Arabidopsis thaliana: one gene and its partners. The protein of the gene in region 2 interacts with the protein of the main gene of each other region in a pairwise test. Each region holds a gene or a part of one and is shown on either strand. Other genes may lie near its edges.

Region 1 (5,460 bases), about 16 Mb from region 2:
TATTTTCGTTGAAAACTGCAGATCCATCCAGGATATATGTGCCATGGGAGTTGTAAGTAAATGAAAACAGAGTAAGCCACTGAACAAGAACTATTTGTAAGACTTTGACTTCACTAAACATGTTCTTGTTCGTTTTTTTTTTTTGGCTTATGGGAAGGTTTTGATCGTAATGTGATATTTATCAGAAGAATTATGTAAGAAGATACAACATAAAAATAAGTAAAACTGTATGAATATGATCAAGCCAATATAATGTGAACGAAACTGGTCATGTCATAAACATATGTAGTTTGTATTTAATTACCCACATGGCCTAGATGATCAAACCGCAACACAATAAACAAATAATCTTCTGATCATTTTTCAATTAATAATAGCAATTATTGTGGGATTGTCAGAGTGTAGAAGCGGACCCATGTTAGGTTTGCAAACCTATTTTACTACTGAAATTTTGCTATATTGGTTATGAGATTATGACATCCTATTTGCTTTTTGTATTTTTTTTCTTCTTTTTACAAAACATTATTGTTAATTATTCTCTTGAATCTCTTCTTATCGTTCCATTAATGTGTTGATTAGTCTTAGGACTTAAACTATTGTTATTGTTGCTGTTTACCTATTGCTGTTAATTATTTATCTAATGAATATTCATGTTATATGCGGCCAACGAACTAAGATAAGTAAGCAAACTTAAGAGAGAAAAAACACATGTACACTATTTAGTAATTACGCACTGTGCATGGCCAAGATAAAGTCGTAAATCAATTATAAGAAAACAAATCTTCTAATTCTTGCTAAGATTAAATAGCGATTATAGTGGAAAGCATAATAAGCAATAATCAAAAAAACTTTTCTTCTCAGATCTCTACCAAAGAAATAAAAAGGTCAAAAAAGCTTCTCTTATCTTTTCTACAACCTAATCCGTCGAACATTACGGAGCGTAGAAATGGATAAACAATGTAAGTTTAACAACCAACGTGTTGACCATAAAATGTAAAAAAAATAAGTTTTTTGACATGTTTTAATGTAAAGTTTAACAGATTTTGTATTGGTCTACAGAAAAAAAAAAGTTAATTAAGTTATAAGTCATTGCTCTTGAAAATTTGGTTTTATAAACAAATTCGAACAAGATTACTTTGAAAGCAAGAATGAAACAAACATATTATAACCCTAAAAGTAAACCCTAGAAATTTAGGGATGAATTGGAAGGCATTCATGATTCAAAGATACAGAAACATGTACTCATTTATCAAATAGACGGATACAGAAGCTCCCGATGGAATATAAATGTTTGATCAAAACTAACTTATTTTTATGGTTTCAGCGTCCATGGGACACAAAAGAATTCGTCAACGTCATTGTACCAAAAGAATTCAGATCAAGACCAAGTAGTACTTCCATTGATGTCTCAGGAATTCCTCTCAATCTCTCAGCCCTAACAACATCAAGAAGATTATTGGGAAGATGCGAAACGCCATTCAAGATCTGCAAAACCGCACTCATGTTCGGTCTAATCAATTCAGTGTGATGTGCACACAACAGACCTAGCTTCAAAACAAGCTCAATTTCTCCTCTGTTTTGTTCTTGACGAATACTTTCCTCAGCTGCATCGAAAAGTTTCCCACTTTCCCAAAGCTCTAAAATCCAATCAACAAGAACCGCTTCATTTTCTGCTGCACGTCTCTCAATCAATCTTCTACCACAAACGACTTCAAGCATAACCAACCCAAAGGCGTAAACATCTGTGCTTGTGGTTGCTCTTCCTGTTCTTAAGAGCTCAGGTGCAATATAACCTAATGTTCCCGCTACTCTAGATGTCTGAGGATCAAATCCCTGATCATACAGCTTCGCCAATCCGAAATCCCCGAGCCTCGCATTCATGCCGTGGTCGAGTAGAACATTAGCCGGTTTTATATCTCGATGAACGATGACTTGTACCCATTCTTGATGCAGGTGTAGTAGAGCAGTTGCAACGTCTTTGATGATCTTGAAACGTTGTTCCCAAGTAAGCCGTTCTTGATTTTCATTCGTGTTGCTACGGGTTAGACACCTGTCAAGGCTTCCATTAGGCATAAAGTCATAAACTAAGTAGAGATTCTCTTTATGCTTACAATATCCCAAAAGCCTGACTAGATTTGGATGTCTGAGACGACCAATGGTCGATATCTCGGCTAGAAATTCGCTCATCCCTTGTCTTGAATCATGAGAAGTCCGTTTTACAGCGATCTCTGCATCGGAACCCGGAAGCATTCCTTTGTAGACTTGACCAAAGCCTCCTTTCCCAAGAAGTTGTTTCTCTTTGAAACCCTTTGTGGCATTGAAAAGCTCCTTATAAGAAAACCTATGAGGTCCATTCTGAATCTCCCATTCTTCAAGAACCTCCTTAACCTTCTTATGCCTCACATAAAAGACAAAACCTATTCCGGAAGCGACTAATGCAGTGAACACGGCCAACGTTAAGCAGACCGCTAAAATCCTCCGTGTTCTATCATACGACTTCTTTGGATATGGAGGAAGGGTTGGGATTACGCCAAGGTCCCATGCTGGATATATAACTCCTTCTTCATAGGAAAATTGCATCACATAATAGAGTGCTCCGATCGACCCGGTCGATGCCGTGAAACCCAAGTACGTCTCCTCCAAAAAATAGGGCGAGAGATCTCGGTTCAAAGACAAGAGCGATTTTTGTGGCGGAACAGAGATTTCAGCAGGTAATAAAGTAACATTGAGCTGTTTATCGGTGTGACTATAAACGATGGAAAGCCTCATTACCTTTGTGCTGATCAAAGAAAGCTTTTTGAAGTTTCCATCTTCATCATCATAGTAACCAGCAGAAGCAGAGGCAACAGATGTCAAACCATTAATGTTAATCCCAACATGATTATCATCAATATCTCCAAACTCTTCGTCTTTTCGTATATCTAACTCGATAGCTATAACGTTATTCGAGGCTTTACCGTTGTTTGTCTCGTTAAAGATTCCCAGGTATTGATCGGGGGAAGCTCCGGGAAGGCCTCTTGTAGGAGAGAAAACGAAAGCCATACCGTGTGAACCTTGCTGCTTATGTTCAGGGACGATCCCGAAGATGATGTTGAATGAGAAAGATGAGTTCTTGATGGGAACGGGAGTGTTGTTGAAAGCTTGACCGTAGGAATGCTTCGTGGTGTTTGTTAAAAGGCAATAACCGTTTAAACCTGCAGCTGCAGCTTCTTCCATGAGGAAGTTGCCATTGGAGTTGTGAGTAGATGAAAACAGAGTAAGCAACAGAACGAGAACTATTTGTAAGACTTTATGAGACATGTTCTTGTTTGTTATTTTTTGGCTTATGGGAAGGTTATGATCTTAATGTAATATTTATCATCTCATAAGAATTACGGTCGAAAATAATGGGAACCCAACGTTCTTTTTTTCTTTTTATTTTTGTTATTCTTCGTTAGTAATAAAAAAACATATGTATTTAAGCACATGAGCTAGATCAAGTCGTAAAGCAATTATAGTGGGACTGGTAGAGCGTGTCGTCAAAAGACAGAACTTTTCTACGATCTTAATACTTTGAAGTATTAAATTACTAATAACAACAGTGTGAAAAGCATAATTAAAAAGCAGCAATCCAACAAAGCTATTTTTCCACAACCATTTTGTAGAAAAAACAACGTATGTTTAACATTTTTAATTTAGTGTAGATTCTAACAAATTCTCTACTGGTCTGAAGGCAAAAGTGAAGTTATATGTCACTAATTTGTCATGGTTTGATCATTATATATTGAGATTAATCCTATGTAGTGTAACAACATCAAAGTAGTTTAGAATGTTTTTGGTTATATGTCACTGATTTGGCAATTCACGCCATTTTGTTTTGACGCCATTGCTCTTGAAAGTTCGGTTTCTTAAACAAATCCAACAAGAAAACTTTGAAAGCAGAAAATACAAAACATATTATATGTTGAGTCCTAAAAATTTAAGATATAAGAACTTGGGGATGAAACGGAAGGCTTTACTGATTCAAGATAAAGAAACCCTAATGTAGTGATTCATCAAATAGACGATACAAAAGCTTGAATGTAACTGTTCATTCAAACTAACTTCTTTAACGGTTTCAGCGTCCATGGGACAAGAAAGAATTTGTTAATGTCATTGTACCAACTGAATACAGATTAAGACCAAGTAGTACTTCGATTGATGTTTCAGGCATTCCTCTCAAGTTCTCAGCTCTTACGACATCAAGAAGATTATCTGGAAGCTGCGAAACGCCATTCAAGATCTGCATAACCGCACTCATGTTCGGTCTAATCAGTTCAGTGTGATGTGCACACAACAGACCTAGCTTCAAAAGAAGCTCGATTTCTCCCCTGTTTTGTTCTTGACGGATACTTTCCTCAGCTGCATCGAAAAGTTTCCCACTTTCCCAAAGCTCTAAGATCCAATCCACAAGAACTTCTTCATTTTCCGGTGCACGTCGCTCAATCATTCTTCTACCACAAACAACTTCAAGCATTACCAACCCAAAGGCATAAACATCAGTGCTTGTGGTCGCTCTTCCTGTTCTTAGGAGCTCAGGTGCGATATAACCAAATGTTCCCGCTACTCTAGATGTCTGAGGGTCAAGTCCCTGATCATACAGCTTTGCCAATCCGAAATCCCCGATCCTTGCATTCATTTCGTGGTCGATTAGGACATTAGCTGGTTTGATATCTCTATGAATGATGATTTGTACCCATTCTTGATGCAGGTGTAGTAGAGCAGATGCAACATCTTTGATGATCTTGAAACGTTGTTCCCAAGTGAGCCGTTCTTGATTCTCATTACGGTCTAGATACTTGTCAAGGCTTCCATTGGGCGTAAAGTCATAAACCAAGTAGAGATTCTCCTTATGCCTACAATATCCCAGAAGCCTGACTAGATTTGGATGCCTGAGACGACCAATGGTCGATATCTCGGCTAGAAACTCGCTCATGCCTTGTCTTGAATCATGAGAAGTCCGTTTTACAGCGATCTCTGCATTGGAACCCGGGAGCGTTCCTTTAAAGACTTGACCAAAGCCTCCTTTTCCAAGAAGTTGTTTCTCCTTGAAATCCTTTGTGGCATTGAGAAGCTCCTTATAGGCAAACCTATGAGGTCCATATTGAATCTCCCATTCCTCAAGAACCTCCTTAACCTTCTTATGCCTCGTATAGAAGACAAAACAGATTCCCGAGGCGACAAACACAGCGAACACAGCAAGCGTTAAGCAGACCGCTAAAATCTTCTTTGTTCTGTCAGACGATTTCTTCGGATATGGAGGAAGGGTTGGGACTACGATGAACTCCCATGTTGGATTCTCAACTTTTGGAGTAGCGTACGAACTCAACATATAATGAAATGCTCCAATGGATCCAGTCGATGCCGTGTAGCCATAATACATCTCCTCCAAAAAATACGGGGAGAGATCTCGATTCAAAGACAGCAGTGGTTTCCGTGGCG
Region 2 (6,183 bases):
AGAACAACGTTACCATGCAGTCAGAGGATAGATCTGCCCTCTGAAAAATCTTGAAAAAGCTCAACATCTGCCGTTCTTCTTTAATCCGATCAAAAACTATGTTACTACTCTTACCCATCTCTCTCTCTCTTCCTTCTTCTATCTCACTCAGAACCTCCTCTCCTTCAAGTTTCTTTAGTATAACTCTCTCTCGCCCTATCCCTATATCTCTCTCTCTGGTGTTATAAATGGGCAAAAGTGAGTATCCAAATATGTATGCTTCTTTTCATTAAAAACGAGTCAAGGTTATAATAGTGGAAAAAGCAGTCACGTTCCCATAAATCAAAGTGTTTTTTTATTTTATAGTAATAGGCAGATGAAACAATTGCTGTTAAAAATCTGACTTCAAAGACACGCAAAAGCAGTGTTTGCTAGTTTTAGTACCTGAGGATCCCTGAGCAATAAGGACTGATAGACTTTTAACTTAGCTTCTTTTGCCACCATCCCTTCTTTTTTAAAAAAATATTATTTTCATTACGATCAACTTCATTTATTAATTTGAACCTTCGGTAACTTTTTCTCTTTTTAACGTTATATGGCAGTCAAAGGTCAAAGTTGATAACCTTTTCTAAACTGAAAAGTAAAAAAATAAGGTACAAGATGAGATCACACCAAACTAATGTGTGCAGAAGATACCCCAAAACTAATATGTTTCTGTAATTTATAATGAAAATACACACAAATATATAAACCACACGACTCACTACATGTGTGTTCATATACATACATATATGATCAAATTGTTAAACTTGACCATGAAATCTATTGATTTAAAAATTTGGATACATTTTAGACATCATGTACTCAAAACGGGAAATAGTTATGAACATAGTGGAGGTAATCAACAATTCTATTAACAAAGCATCAATGTATTGATAAAACGGTCGTCAGTGTTCAATTCCAAAATACATATTGTTAACTTGGTCACAAGCTATAATCCAATCTATCAACTAAGTTGCAAGACAATGTCACACAGAAATTATTTACGCCATTATGCACTTTAATTATATTTATAAAATATTAAACAACACAACCCCATTTCTTAAACGCAGCATTGACTTTCATCAGAGTTCAAGACTGATCATCCATAAACCCAGTACTGTAACCATTTGATTTTATGAACTTCTTCAGAAGAAGAACCATGATAGCGATTGTGAGCCCAACCGCCGCCCACGTGAAGAGTCTGTCATCGACTGGCTTCTGAGCCGCTCTTCTGGCCATCCTTTGCTCACCACTTACAGAAGCTTTGACCACAACTTCAACCGCTGGTAAAGGTGCTGCAGCGGGAACCACACTAGCTGCTGTATTGACTGCTTCAGCTGTCTCTTCTATGATTTGATCATCAACTATGGTGTCTGTTGTAGCGATGGACCGCTCTTCTACTACAGTTATCGCTTCCTGTGGCTCAACTTGGGAGTGAGCTTCTGATACGATGGAAGGTGCTTGGCTACATTCCAGAGGAAGAGGTTTTGGAACCACGGTTGCTTTGCTAAGGATGTACTGATGAATCTGCGCTTGTTAAAAGGTCATGGTTACTAAAAGTTTTTTCCAAAATTGAAGATGAATCAGAGGTATGAAACTAAAGTCATAACAAAAATCATGAAGAAAGGGACGAGAGTTTAGACCAAAAGGAGATTGTTAACACTACTATTGTCTTTTTTTTTATATTTGTGCAACTGACTACTTTTTAAAAACGACAATAATCAGTAAAATGGTGTGTTAGGACTTGAGCAGCAAATTTTACTGTATGGAGAGAATAATAACAGCTGTGATTGCAGTTAAAACAAAGCAGATACTCTTAGAGCAAACATTAAATCATAACCGCTAGAGATATGCAAGCCTAATATATAATATATTGCGATCCCGTTTTGACCACCAGCTAGTCCTATGGTTTATAATGATGCAATGCAATGGTATGGCACATACTCTACAGGTTCAGCAAGCATCTAGCTAAATTCATATATTTTCATCAGGATATTATGCATAGTGGTTCAACACCCAAGGGTATTCTAGTGGGGAACTATACCTCATCAATAATTTTTTGCCGTTCAGGAGAGCCATACTTAGGTGGTGTCTCACGTGATTTAATGGCTAGTGTACGTCTCTCATCCTTTGGATAATCTACTGAGCCCAGTGCTCCATTGGGACTTGTGGGCATAAATGCAATGAGAGCCACCAAAGCAGTCCGAACTGAAAAGAAACAAAGCTCAATCATAATACAAAAGAGCTGATATAGTTCAACCTCATGTAAATTACAAGTGTCTGAGTAATCTTTTAGGAAACAACATAAAAGTCAAGAGATAAGGTCTCTTGAGATCCATGACTTTACCACTCCATGAAGGTTGCCAATGCTCAGGGTGGTAGTTTGAAATGCTCAAGCAAATCTTGGTGTTAGTTTCAAAGCGCCCGTTAGGCTGAAACAAAAGTACAGAGATTCTTTAGATACATACTCTCTTATGGAACTTGCAACATCTGTGTGTTTTTATATATGAAATAAGAGTAAGATCCTTACGGTCAATAACATGAATGAAGGAGGTTTGAATGGATAATCTGCAGGCAACTGAATTCTCCCATGATAAATCCCGCCCTCGAATTCAGTATCACCAGGACCTCGGATGGCGAATTGCCACTCAAAGATATTCTCCTGAAGTTAAAAGATAGATAAGAGTAATCATGTAAACTATTTGGTATCACACAAGAACTTGTAAAAAACAGCTATAACATCGCGCGCAATCTATTTGGACCATGACATGTTGGAAAAAGTCTTCACAGTTAAAAAAATTAGAAACGAAGAACTAGTATGACAGCTGAGTGGATCAAGGAATCGTTCGTAATCTTCCCCACTTGACTCAGTTATTCCAATAAAAACACAAAAATCCAAACTTTATCTGTTGCACGAGTGTTGAAAGTAGAGAGACTTAGTAAATTCAGTGTATACAAGAAGATATATCGATCCTCCCTAATCATGATCGCCTAAAATCAAACACCATCACTCAGAACAGATACACAATTACAACACAACACAACATAACACAACAACATAAGACAAGGGGATTTTCTCAAAAAAGGAAATTTCAAATATAGATTCGAATCAAAATTCCCGATCTAAAAAGCTAGAATCGGAGATGTTACCTCAAGAGGAAGAGACATAAAATCATCAGACGGATTAGCTTGCATCTCCTTAACCTCCTGCAAAATCCTCTTCACCGCCGGATTCTTCCGATTATACCTCTCATCCGCCATCTTATTTATCCCCACGAGATCTTGCCGGAAGTGCAATCCGCCGCCGGAGTTCTCTCTGTCCGATTCGTCTTAACAGAAAATAATAAATACACAAAATTAGAATTACCACATGGCTTCGGGAGATGAGCTAATTAGTACGGTGATATAATACAAACACACAAAATTAATTCCAAAACATTTTCCACGTCACACTCTTTAACGACGGATACGTGACGTGAGAGAGCTTCTGAGTAAGTGCCACGTAATTAATAAACTTTAGTCATCCAAACATCTCAACGGTTCAGAAACTGTCACGTAATCTGAGAAATTTAAGCGCCTCTTTACAGCCGTCGATTTGGGAGAATCATTAAGCTATCGTGGCGAGACTTTAATAGGCCTTGGCCCATTAATTTAAAGCCCAATGAAACGTGCACGTCACAGACAACAGAAAATCAAAGCGTTGACAGTGAATCGGTGAAGAAGAAGAGTCTTGAGTCTTGAGTCTTGAGAGAAAGGAAGAAGAAGCAATTTCAATGGAGAAGAGAGGGGTGATCGACACATGGATTGATAAGCACCGTTCGATCTATACGGCGGCTACACGTCATGCTTTTGTCGTCTCGATCCGTGACGGATCCGTTGATCTCTCGTCCTTCAGAACTTGGCTGGTACTGTAATTAGTAATTACTGATGAAAACAAGGCAAAATATGAAATCTCACTCGATGACTTTTAAACGACGTTGTTTCCTTGTAGGGGCAAGATTATCTGTTCGTGAGGAGGTTTGTGCCGTTTGTAGCGAGTGTGTTGATCAGAGCTTGCAAAGATTCCGGCGAGAGTTCCGATATGGAAGTGGTGCTTGGTGGTATAGCATCGTTGAATGATGAAATAGAATGGTTTAAAAGAGAAGGATCGAAATGGGATGTTGATTTCTCGACCGTTGTGCCTCAAAGAGCTAATCAAGAATATGGCAGGTTATTGATTTCATATATGCTGATTGAATAGATTTCTCACACTCGAAAATGAAATTAGGAACCAGCAAATAAACCGGAGTTTCTGGTTAATTCAGGTTTTTGGAAGATCTGATGAGCAGTGAGGTGAAGTATCCGGTGATTATGACAGCTTTCTGGGCAATTGAAGCAGTGTATCAAGAGAGCTTTGCTCATTGTTTAGAAGACGGGAACAAAACTCCGGTGGAGCTTACCGGTGCTTGTCATCGTTGGGGGAATGACGGGTTTAAACAGTATTGTTCGTCTGTCAAGAACATTGCCGAACGTTGTCTGGAGAATGCCTCCGGTGAGGTGCTCGGTGAAGCTGAAGATGTACTTGTACGAGTTCTTGAACTAGAGGTTGCCTTCTGGGAGATGAGCCGTGGAGGACAGTAGCTAATGTTTGGGTTTGAATTTCTCATTTCCTCTAAATGCCAAAGAGAAACAAGTTCCAATCTTTATGTTTGGTGAAACACAAGTTGAGATTATGGTTTCATAACAGATTACATGAATACGGATTTGTCTCTGACTGGGGCAGAAGGTTGTTCCCGTCATTCCACATATTACACTTACTGGTAACTACATCAACTCCTAAAACTCTTAAGAACTCACCAATTGAAACCGAAAAGCTCTTTATTCTCTCCAGCGATGACCACAATTCGGGTTGCAACAGACAAAGAACAGTGTCATTCCTTCTTCACCTCTAGCCGTAGCCTGCACATTCAATGATAGCTACATTAAATCCTCAAGCGGTGTACAGAATTTGAGCATAATGTTTTGGGGAAGCAAACAGTGAAGATACAGCATAACCAAGTAGTTAAATAAATAATGGAGCTTAAGAGAGTTATACCTGGAAGAAAACGGCCTCCCTATGCTGACACTTAGAGCAACGCACAGCCTTGGTTCGGGGAAGAGTAGGGTCAGAAGCCACGTCTGTTAAGATCTGAGTTCGCTCACTTACAGAGTGATGAACCTCGTTTCTGTACACACAGCTGTTATCAGCTACCTCCTGCAAGTCAGTGCCACAAAAAGTATAAATTCTGAGATGAGGACAACAAACCCATTTACATGATCTAATCTAATCTGTCAATTTGTAACAACAAGATTGATAATGCAGCTTAAAAAATTGCAAATAACTACTCAGTTTGTGTAAATCAATAAGCTAAAAGAGGCCCTTCAAGTATTCATATAGATCTCATAAACACAACACTAGAAAGATAAACCATAAGAACTTGCTAAGCCTTAATTGAAGGAGTTAGTAAATAGAGAGGTTGGTAAAACTAAGGAAACTAGGAGCATTAAAAGAGAGATAAAAGCAGGAAACAGTTTCATTAAAGTCTCTTAATTGCAATGAAACTAAGTCCCACTCGCAATTTTGTGCACTACATTGAACACTAAAAACCCTTTTTCCACACAAAAAAAAGGTACAAAATGACCAAAAGCTATACCTGGTGATCACAATTACGGCAAGCATAGAGGAGGATCTTCTGTTCTTTGTCCTCCTTAGGATACAGAATGTTATTACTGAACCAAAATCAAACAGAAACAACAATGCAATTAAGAAAGGACCCAAAAACAAAATTCGAAAAAAGGTACTCACTTTTAGCGAATTGTCACCTTATCAACCATAGATGGTTCAACCACGGAAGAAATACATCAAAAGTAAACAACAAAAACTAAAAAATTCATGCAAATTTCGAAACTTTGAAAAAACCTAGACGAGCAGAGAGGTGCAATTCCAGAAACTAGGAACAGAATTAGCATAAGAGAGCTCTTACCATTCGCGGCAAAATTTCATAGTACTCATCTTAGCTGAATCTCTTGAGAGAGAATTAGGTTCCAAAACCAAAACTGAATCACTGTCTCAGAGAAATCTGGCGGGCTCGTTTTGTTTATTAGGAGAAAAATAATGCGATCGTCGTTCTAAATAACAGAGTC
Region 3 (4,168 bases), 9.0 Mb from region 2:
AGCAATTGTTGGAACCGTGTCCCCAAACCTCTCATCGAACAGAGTCTTCCAAACACTCTCACACTCAGGTTTCACACTGATAACATCCTCCACGTCTTTCTTCTTGGGATACTTCCCACATTCCAGCCCAGTTAGGATACTAAATTCTCTTAATCCAAATCTGATTGGATGACCACCGAATACAATCCACATCTCATTCACCTTCTTTGTCACTAACTGACAGCATATTAGTCCAAGGACAAGCTTAGCATTGAAAGATGCCTTGTTTTTGGGTATTTTAAAAAGTTCCCCAAATGGAGAATCGAGAAGAAACTGCATCTCTGGTTTCCCCTTTAGTACATTTGCTATGTTAGAAATGTACTCCGGTTTAGAGTACGCGTTCATCTTTGTCTCGGAAGGGTACCGGTCTATAGCAAAGAGTCTTGGTGGTAACTCTTCAACTGTAAGATCTTCAATCGGAGCAACACTTGGACTACCTGCAATTAAACGTGATATATTGTTAAGCAAACCGAAGTAGTGTACGTACACAGACATTTTCCAGATTATAACTCAAAATCATATTTTTGGCGGAAACAGAGATTTCCAATTCTACTTCTCAATTTTTCATCCTAAAGATATGCTAAATTCCGACTAGTTCTAACCCTTTAATCAAACAAGCTTTACAATTCTGATACACCCAAAGAAAACAAACGGTAAATTAGAGATTCTAACCCAGTTCCTCCGTTGCCTTTGTCGCAGAGCGTTTTCTCTGCGGGGAAACTCTTAATACCCGCTTCTCCTTCCCTGGACCATGCTGCTTCCTCGGGACTTCTTCGTTTGCTTTATTCCCAGCCATAGCTAAAGTTGCTATCTCGCCGGAGGTTCAAATTTCGTCGGAATAAACAGTAACTTTTTCTTGGCTTCGCCGGGAAAAACAGTAACTTTCTCTTCCCCGGATGTGGGAGTTCAGTGACTCAATTCAACTACCCAACAATTCGAAGTTATGTCGAATTTTGAAACAATGGATACTGAATTTCGTTTCGCTTTCTAATTCTCTCTCAAATCTCTCCGTTACTCTCTTCTCTTTTTCTTTTTCTTCGGTTTCTTCGTTTCAGTTTTTTTGTTTTGTCTTTTTCAAAACTGAACCGCATCAACTAAACCGAAACCAACTGCTGTAGGGTTTGGTTTATGCCATCAACTGAACCGATACGAACTGCTGCACGGTTTGGTTTGTGCCATTATTAAGTTTTCCCAAGGTAATTTGGTCCGAAATTGAATGAAAAGACAAACCGTAAAAACCAGTTCTCACTTTGACAAACGGTGAGAGCAAATCTTTTTTCGTCCACTTCTGTAAATTTTTTTTTAATGGTTAGTTTGCTTTTAATATTAAAATATTAAATATATTGGTTTTGAGACACTAAAAAAATAATTATGCAATGAGAATGCTCTAATGGTCTAATCTATGGTTTTCCGTTGATTAATACAAACCTTATTTTTTATTACTTGTGTCAAATTTCACCGTCCTATTTTTGGTGTCTTCAAACATCTTTGTTTTATGTTTACCTTTTTTGTTTTAATTATATTATTAAAGATTGTGTCTTGGTTTGAAGGAAAGAAAAATCTTTAGATGCATATTCTATTGTTTTTAAGCTCTTAATTTTTTATTAGAGTTTCAATTGGCTTAACTACAGTGACAAATAAAAGAATTAATGATCGATTGTGTTTCGACGATGATTTTTTTACCGAAATATATACCCAACGACCAAGGTTGATCTTGGAAATCGTACGATTACTCATCGAACACATGTTGTTTTGCACGCAGTTGTTGACACGTGGGTTTGGATGGAGTCAAGACACAATTTCTTTTGCAGTTAAACAGTAATCTTATAAGCTCATATTGTACCTCAATATTTTTATAATCTTTTTTGGGATTTTTGGTATAGTCTATGTATATGTAAATAAAATATTAAAATATTGCAATTGAGAAAGAAGAAAAATTTAAATATTTTAGATGCTTAAAAAATACAATTGACATAAAAGAGTATTTTATGGACAACATGAAATATATCAAAAATAATAATCCTTTTCAAATTTCTATTCGAGTAGCAATTTAGTTTTAGGTCTTTGAGAAGAAAAGAAAAAAAAAAGCAATTTAGTTTCAGGCATTTATGTAAACAATAATGATAAAATAGTATTACTAATTCAAATATATACGACCGTCATTTTCGTGAGGCTAAAGGTCAAAAATCTATTACAATACTTTTGTGAAGCCCATTATGTCAATATAACCGTTAAACCTCATCATAGCCGTTACATCTTCTCCCCAACGGGCGCTTAGTTTCTTACTTTACCTATATAAAACTTGAAACAAACAAAAAAAACATAATTTCACAAAACATCAATGGCTTCTTTTCACAGAAAGTTATGTTTGTTCCAAAACATTCTCGTATCGTGTCTGAATTTCACTCTCCTCCTCCTCTCCCTCTGTTCTTTCGTACCAATCATTCTTCTTAGAAACCCTCCAACTTCACTCGGTTTAGCCTTCCTCGCAGTCTCACTCGTCTCTCTGATCTCCTCTTTCGGTAGTGCCTCTTCGCACCAATCTCGATCATGTTTCATCGCGCGGATAACGCTTCATGTTTCCTCACTGACGGGTCAGTTTATTGCAGTTTTAATGTTGTTTAGTAGAGAGAAACAGAGTCTTTCTTTGCTGATATCGACTCGAGACCCTAGAGAGGCTAAAGCTTTGGTTAGAGTAGAATGTGGTGTTTTCGTGGCGATGATTCCGTTACAGATAATGGTTCTAGTGCTGGCTTGTTTGTTACATTGTTATTGGGTTAGAGAGTTCGAAGGGTTAGATGTTGAGAGTGAAGATTCTTTTAGAAGAAAATGTAACCGAAGAGTCTCGACCGCTGAAGATGGGACTAGTTCGGATTTAAAGAAAATGGAGTTGGACGAGAAGATGAATGTGAAACATGTTCAGTGGGTTAAAACAGATTTCGAAGGTTAAAGTGTTTTTATGAATCTATAGTTTGTGATTATTGTTCAAACTTCAAAGTTATATTTTATGTCTTAGTTAAGAAAATTATTTATTTGCTGTTACAAAACTTTGTTAGGTTTTCTACAATGTTGTAAGTAATATGTATGGCTACTTGAATTGTCCTAGTAATGGTTGATCTTGTATTTTTTTCTCTCGTACATCCACCATTAGTGGGTAATTTACATACATACACTAGTACAAAGATGCATGTATTTATTTTGCATTCTTTCATAACCATAAGAAAGATGTCTTAATATCATCATACTACGATCCATTAGCTGTTCCTAAGATCTCAGAGATTCAAAGCAAATTATTCGGCTCAACGATCAAACACATCCTAATGTAAAAAGAAGAAGAACCAAAAACAACCTAATCCAAAAGGGAAAAGCACCAAAAACCTAACTAGAAACTCTTTAAGACTGGACTCGGGTTTTGGAAACCTCTACGGTTGTATGTGATACCGTATCTCGTATCAATATCTTGACCTTGGGTGAGGTGGTGGCAAGCTTCAACAGGTTCTTCAATATCTTGAGCTTGGGTGAAGCGGTGGCAAGCTTCAACAGATTCTTCAATATCTTGAGCTTGGGTGAAGCGGTGGCAAGTTCCAATAGATCCTTTGTGAGTTGCACCTTTTGGGGGTCATCCATTGGAGATGACAACTTTCACAACTTCAAGACACTCCATTTCCAGTAAGAAATGGCTAATCTGTTTCAGCACGTGTGCACTTCCTTGATAATGCATGATACTCAATATCTTTACTTGGTTATTTGTGGGAATATGAATCCCCACAAACCGATTTCTTTTAAATATGTAACGATGCAGACCCTGAAACATCAAGAAGAGACACTACTTTAATGTAATGCCAGTCATATTATTAAGTAAGATTTCTTAAGGGTTTGCTTCGTACCGAGAGAACCAGAGTTTTAGGTTTGGAGAACGCTCAGCATAAGTGGCAGAAGCTTCCTAAAACATTTTTTTTAACACGAAAACAATAACTCAAGGAGGTTGTTGACAACAGGTAGTCCACCTTTGCAGCATACTAAAATCACCTGAAATATACACACAAAGAATATTTTTCTTGTTTATAGGCAAAAGATGATGAGAGCATACACTAAAACTGACCTCGACAGCAGAAGAAGTCAGGTGCAG
Region 4 (5,520 bases), on a different chromosome or scaffold from region 2:
TCGATTGGCCATAACAATCACCGGCTTCTCGTCTCCCATCGCCAAGAAACCAAAGAGACAAGGAAATCTAGTCGGAGAAAAAGAAAGAAGAGAGAAATGCCGGTGAACTGTGAACGGCGGAGAGGAAAAAGGCTGAGACTTTTGCCGGCGACTGTTCTTTTGTAGCTAAGCTTAGCTAACTCCAACTTGAGCTCTCTGTCGTTTTTGGATTTTTCTTTTTATATCTGTCTTCTTTTATTTATCCTTTTCTTAATTATAACATGATTAATTTTTGTTTCAAATTACTGTATACAAATTATTTTCAAAAGATGAAAAGATTAATTTTATTGTTGTGAATTAATATATCAAAAATTTATTTGTTCTACTTGAAATCATATACATTCATCGTAAAAATAAACTTTACAATAAATATTTTATTATCTAGAGTAAAACATTTTTGATTCTTAAGCAATATCAAAACAATTCCATCATATTTAAGCAAAAAATAACTAATTATAGTATATGTTTTAAATGATTTATACTGTAATATTTATTATTGTCATTTTTGTTTGTTACATACGTCTTCGAATTATCACATTAAAAGAGAAAATTATTCTAACGATTATATATTTTCCCAAGACTGCACCCAATGTTAAATCTGATATGGAAAATAATTTTCTTACAACTTTCAGATTTATTTTAAATATAAAAGTTAAGCAAAAACTATAATATATATATATTTGAGATTTCTATATGAGATAAAGTTCTAAAATAAATTAAAGTTTACAAAGGCAGAGAAATGAAGATTCATAATTAGGTCAGGTGCTAAGCACAATCCTCCTCTAAGAAAATTTTGGTCGATACATTTTTAGCTGCAGTATTTTATTTCACCATAAGAATTAGTAACATGTTGGAAACAAAACGTACCTGAGATCAAAAGAAGAGCTAGACAGAGAAATGTTAGACCATTTTTTTCTTCGATCAACAATGTCTCTCTATATATACCACATTTTATACTATTCCCTAATATGTAAAACGATATTGCCATTTGTCATGTGATTATTATTAGGGTGGGATTATCTTTGATTATCTTTTTGTTATAAAGTCAATGCGACAGTAATATGAAAGACACAAGGACGCGGATACAAATTATAATCTATAAGAAAAGAAAAAAAATTATTTTTAAAAGGGCTAAAAGAAAACAAGGTTATTCAAATAATATTGACAAATTACACTTCTCGACAAATTTTTCTGTGTTTTTTGGTTTCTCTATTCGCTCAGATTTTGTGAAACGTCTCTTCTGATTTTTTATTTTTTCCTATCGATCGGCCAAAGGTTTTTGAATAGTCACTTTAAGATTCATTTCCAATCGAGGCCAAAGGTTTATCAAGAGTCGATAGAATCTGCGGCATTGACATTCCCCCGGAAACAACAATCTCTGCAGATGAAGAATGAGTATACAGTGTTCAGTATCTTTCCACAAAATAATTTGAATGCTATATAACAAACGATAAATGTATCTAGTATAGACAATTAGATTCTGAAATCTCACCAATTCCTTCCCGGACAGAGAGGTTTGGCCTGATAACGTCATTACTGTTGACAAGTAGTATATCTCCAATGTAAAGGTGGTTCGTGGGAACGTATACACAGCAAAGTTCCTCCTCGGTTGGGTAGTTCTGCAAGAACGAATAGCATTATTACATTGGGTAAAAAGATTACGAAATTATGGTAAACCATATAACTCGAAATTGTTTGTATCCTCAAGGAGACGTTCTGGAAAGAATAACAAAATCCTTGAGCAAAGTATTTTCACTCACCTGGAGAACAACAGTTGATGTAATGAAGCCAAATGCATATTCACCTACACGGGGATGCCTGATGATTGCAACTTCCTTGAAAGCTTGTGTATTTTGATCTGTGATGAGAAATGGATAAGAACAAGATGAGATAGGAGATCAACTTAATGTTGAGAAGCAAAACAAGATTTTTATAAGCAAGCTAGACCAGGCGATATGGCAGTGCTGATTTGCTTGGAGGCGTTGTAGATGTGACGAACAAATGGCATCCGCTTGATAAACCACTCTCCCAAGTTCAGAACCGATGCCCCCAACCACGAAGACATGAACACCCCAACCAAGAAGATGAATGCAATGGAAGTCAAAAAACCGAAACCTACAAAACAATAATCAAACTCATTGTGGGAAACCGATATCAAGTTGTTAATAGGATAAAGAGGGGCCATTCAAATTCTTACCAAATATGTTGATTCCAAGTAGTGCATATATTGGAGAGAAGAATCCATCGACAAAGTGAATAAACCACCATGTTGTATAGAAAGTAACTGCAATAGGAAGTAGGATAACACTGCAAAAAGCAATGGAGACTTAAAACTAATCTGTGGAAGTTTTCATCAAATGCCAAAATTTCAACTCTTCCTTACCAGCCTGTCATGAACTTCTTTGACGCCCAACCCCTAATGAACAAGCTTAAAGTCTGCAGAAAAGAGCTAAAGCATCAGGCCACAATGCTCTATAAGTTATACATGCTTGAAAACATGAATGAGCATAATACAAAGACTCAAGAATCTGAATGATTCCAACCACAACAACTTGGAATGCAAATTCATACTCTACTCAATCACAACTACCAAACTTATCTAAGCAAGTGTTCTTGTGATATACTGAATCTAGGGCAAAACAAGTTCCAAGATTTTGAACTAAGGGGAGACAGAATCGACCAAATCTATGAATAACTATCATCCAATTCTACTGTTAGTTTCGCATGAATCTTGAAATGAGAAAACGAAGAACACGTTTTTAGATCAGGTGACAAAAACTAGACCTCGTGGCCGGATTGATGCGAAGAAGAAGCAGAGGAAGAAGAAGAAGGCTTCGAAGAAGAACCATCGTCTTTGTCGCCGAAATCAGCGACGGGAATCAGAAGCTCTCGATCTCTTTCTCGATTGGCCATAACAATTGTCGTGTAAAGAGAGATAAAACCCTAAACCTAGAAACTCACCGAGAGTTCGAAGATTGTAAATCACAATCTAGAAGCTAGTTGCGAAACAGAAGAACCACCTCGAAGATCCTGAGATTTGATGATGATGATTGTGATGATGATGAATGACAGATAGAGAAGACGATGAAATTGATTTTTGATTCGATTTCCCCAAATGGCAAAAGAAAAGTTCCTTACCTGTACCGATTGACCGTACCAACTACCAAACCAACGAATTGACTTTTACAAAACTTAAACCGAAATTAAAGATAATTAAACCGAGTTATTGAACTAAACCAGATAATAGCTTAGGTTGAATCAGTTTTAAAAAAATTTGCGATACCTAAGGCCCACTAAGTTTTTCACATCGTAAAAAGGCCTAAAATAATAAGCCCACTTTAATCATCTCCTCCCGTTATCAGATTAAAAGATTTGTTTCTCCGAGAGCAAGAAACCTCAGAGAGACGAAGCACAATGGGTCAAGGACCTTCCGGCGGATTGAATCGGCAAGGAGATCGGAAACCAGATGGTGGAGAGAAGAAGGAGAAGAAGTTCGAACCAGCCGCACCACCTGCTCGTGTAGGGAGGAAGCAACGGAAGCAGAAAGGACCTGAAGCGGCGGCGAGATTGCCGACGGTGACTCCTTCTACTAAATGTAAGCTTCGATTGCTGAAATTGGAGCGAATCAAGGACTATTTGCTTATGGAGGAAGAGTTCGTAGCGAATCAGGAGAGATTGAAACCTCAGGAAGAGAAAGCTGAGGAAGATAGATCTAAAGTTGATGATCTTCGTGGTACACCTATGAGTGTTGGCAATCTTGAAGAGCTTATTGATGAGAATCACGCCATTGTTTCTTCTTCGGTTGGTCCTGAGTACTACGTTGGCATTTTGTCTTTCGTTGATAAGGATCAGCTTGAACCTGGCTGCTCTATTTTGATGCATAACAAGGTATTGAGTTTTACAATGCTCTTCCATGGAAACGTTGAACCAATTCTTCTATGTGATATTTTTTATTATTTTTGTGATAGGTACTCTCTGTTGTTGGGATTCTTCAAGATGAAGTGGATCCAATGGTGTCTGTGATGAAAGTGGAGAAGGCTCCTTTGGAGTCATATGCTGACATTGGAGGTTTAGAAGCTCAGATTCAGGAGATTAAGGAAGCTGTTGAGTTACCTTTAACACATCCCGAGCTGTATGAAGATATTGGAATTAAGCCACCAAAAGGTGTGATCTTGTATGGTGAGCCAGGCACTGGGAAGACATTGCTTGCTAAGGTTCGTCTTTTAGCCTATAGTGTATCCATTATATAATAAGCTTTCTAGTTGTTAATTGCTTAATACAGCACATAATGGTACTTCCCAAGTATGATTGGTTTTATGTCAAGTCATGCATGCAAAATTTTCTGTCTTTTATCAATCTTCACTAGAAAGATGAATTAGTCAGGACAGTGGCTTCTTTGGTTTGATCACCTAGAATTGAGATATTAGATCATAGTACTTGTGTAGATAGAGGAAGATTTTCAGAGTCACGTGGATTGATTTAATGTCTTCGTTTTCTTTTTGTCTATGTCGCAAGCATGGATTGTTGCAGTGTGCCTCTTTTTAATGTGTCTCTTATGCTTGTTAAATTCGGAACTGTTGGAGATGAGCAAGTGTTATTTCTTGTTATTCTTTCAGGCAGTGGCAAATTCTACTTCAGCTACTTTCTTGCGTGTTGTCGGTAGTGAACTGATTCAGAAGTATTTAGGAGATGGTCCCAAGCTTGTGAGGGAACTTTTCAGGGTTGCTGATGACCTTTCTCCTTCTATTGTTTTCATAGACGAGATTGATGCTGTTGGCACCAAGCGGTATGCCTAAATACAACATAAACATGATCCATTGATAAACAATGTTCTTGATTTTGCTCAAGAGATGGTATCTAATATGTGATATAAAATGGTGGTTGAAACAGGTATGACGCAAACTCAGGTGGGGAACGTGAAATCCAAAGAACCATGTTGGAACTACTGAACCAGCTTGATGGGTTTGATTCAAGAGGAGATGTTAAGGTTATTCTCGCGACAAACAGGATCGAGAGTCTTGACCCGGCACTTCTTAGACCAGGCCGGATCGACAGGAAAATCGAATTCCCTCTTCCAGATATCAAAACAAGAAGACGTATCTTCCAGGTTCCACAACTGGTGATCCTTAAGTTTTCTTTCTTTTTTTGTGAATTTTCTAGAAAGATCTGATCGGTTTTTAATTGCATGCCATTATTAGATACACACATCAAAGATGACTTTGGCTGAAGATGTGAACTTAGAAGAGTTTGTAATGACAAAAGACGAGTTCTCAGGAGCTGATATAAAGGCAATATGCACAGAAGCTGGTCTGCTTGCTCTTAGAGAGCGTCGGATGAAAGTAAGGATTCTCTGGCTTCTCACCACTTGATTCATCGAACGCAATCTTTGAATAATTTTACTTTAACCTTTGTTTGGTCTTCTATTGGTTTAGGTGACGCATGTGGACTTCAAGAAGGCGAAGGAGAAGGTTATGTTCAAGA

What was found.
Region 1: the proteins of UBC32 (region 2) and AT3G59740 interact in a protein complementation assay, tested with the Arabidopsis thaliana proteins (one large-scale study listed by BioGRID).
Region 3: the proteins of UBC32 (region 2) and AT3G42725 interact in a protein complementation assay, tested with the Arabidopsis thaliana proteins (one large-scale study listed by BioGRID).
Region 4: the proteins of UBC32 (region 2) and LCV1 interact in a protein complementation assay, tested with the Arabidopsis thaliana proteins (one large-scale study listed by BioGRID).

What each region holds. Positions count from the first base shown.
Region 1 is NC_003074.8:22,065,759-22,071,218, forward strand, and holds AT3G59740 (Concanavalin A-like lectin protein kinase family protein), read right to left. Parts: upstream 3,301-5,460; coding exon 1,321-3,300; 3' UTR 1,229-1,320; downstream 1-1,228. Other genes in the region: AT3G59730 (Concanavalin A-like lectin protein kinase family protein), read right to left, coding at 1-121; AT3G59750 (Concanavalin A-like lectin protein kinase family protein), read right to left, coding at 4,097-5,460.
Region 2 is NC_003074.8:5,794,395-5,800,577, reverse strand, and holds UBC32 (ubiquitin-conjugating enzyme 32), read right to left. Parts: upstream 3,649-6,183; 5' UTR 3,283-3,648; coding exon 3,172-3,282; intron 2,684-3,171; coding exon 2,552-2,683; intron 2,454-2,551; coding exon 2,369-2,453; intron 2,230-2,368; coding exon 2,066-2,229; intron 1,549-2,065; coding exon 1,111-1,548; 3' UTR 831-1,110; downstream 1-830. Other genes in the region: REM22 (AP2/B3-like transcriptional factor family protein), read right to left, coding at 14-118; AT3G16990 (heme oxygenase-like, multi-helical), read left to right, coding at 3,795-3,926, 4,013-4,230, 4,326-4,641; NRPB9A (RNA polymerases M/15 Kd subunit), read right to left, coding at 4,879-4,959, 5,096-5,254, 5,694-5,769, 6,024-6,052. UniProt on the Arabidopsis thaliana protein: Accepts the ubiquitin from the E1 complex and catalyzes its covalent attachment to other proteins.
Region 3 is NC_003074.8:14,841,903-14,846,070, reverse strand, and holds AT3G42725 (Putative membrane lipoprotein), read left to right. Parts: upstream 1-2,352; 5' UTR 2,353-2,380; coding exon 2,381-2,989; 3' UTR 2,990-3,222; downstream 3,223-4,168.
Region 4 is NC_003071.7:8,689,283-8,694,802, forward strand, and holds LCV1 (uncharacterized protein), read right to left. Parts: upstream 3,209-5,520; 5' UTR 2,953-3,208; coding exon 2,824-2,952; intron 2,476-2,823; coding exon 2,423-2,475; intron 2,347-2,422; coding exon 2,237-2,346; intron 2,155-2,236; coding exon 1,987-2,154; intron 1,898-1,986; coding exon 1,800-1,897; intron 1,659-1,799; coding exon 1,532-1,658; intron 1,418-1,531; coding exon 1,332-1,417; 3' UTR 1,011-1,331; downstream 1-1,010. Other genes in the region: COV1 (CONTINUOUS VASCULAR RING protein (DUF502)), read right to left, coding at 1-39; RPT2b (AAA-type ATPase family protein), read left to right, coding at 3,454-3,927, 4,008-4,253, 4,656-4,825, 4,930-5,146, 5,238-5,378, 5,472-5,520.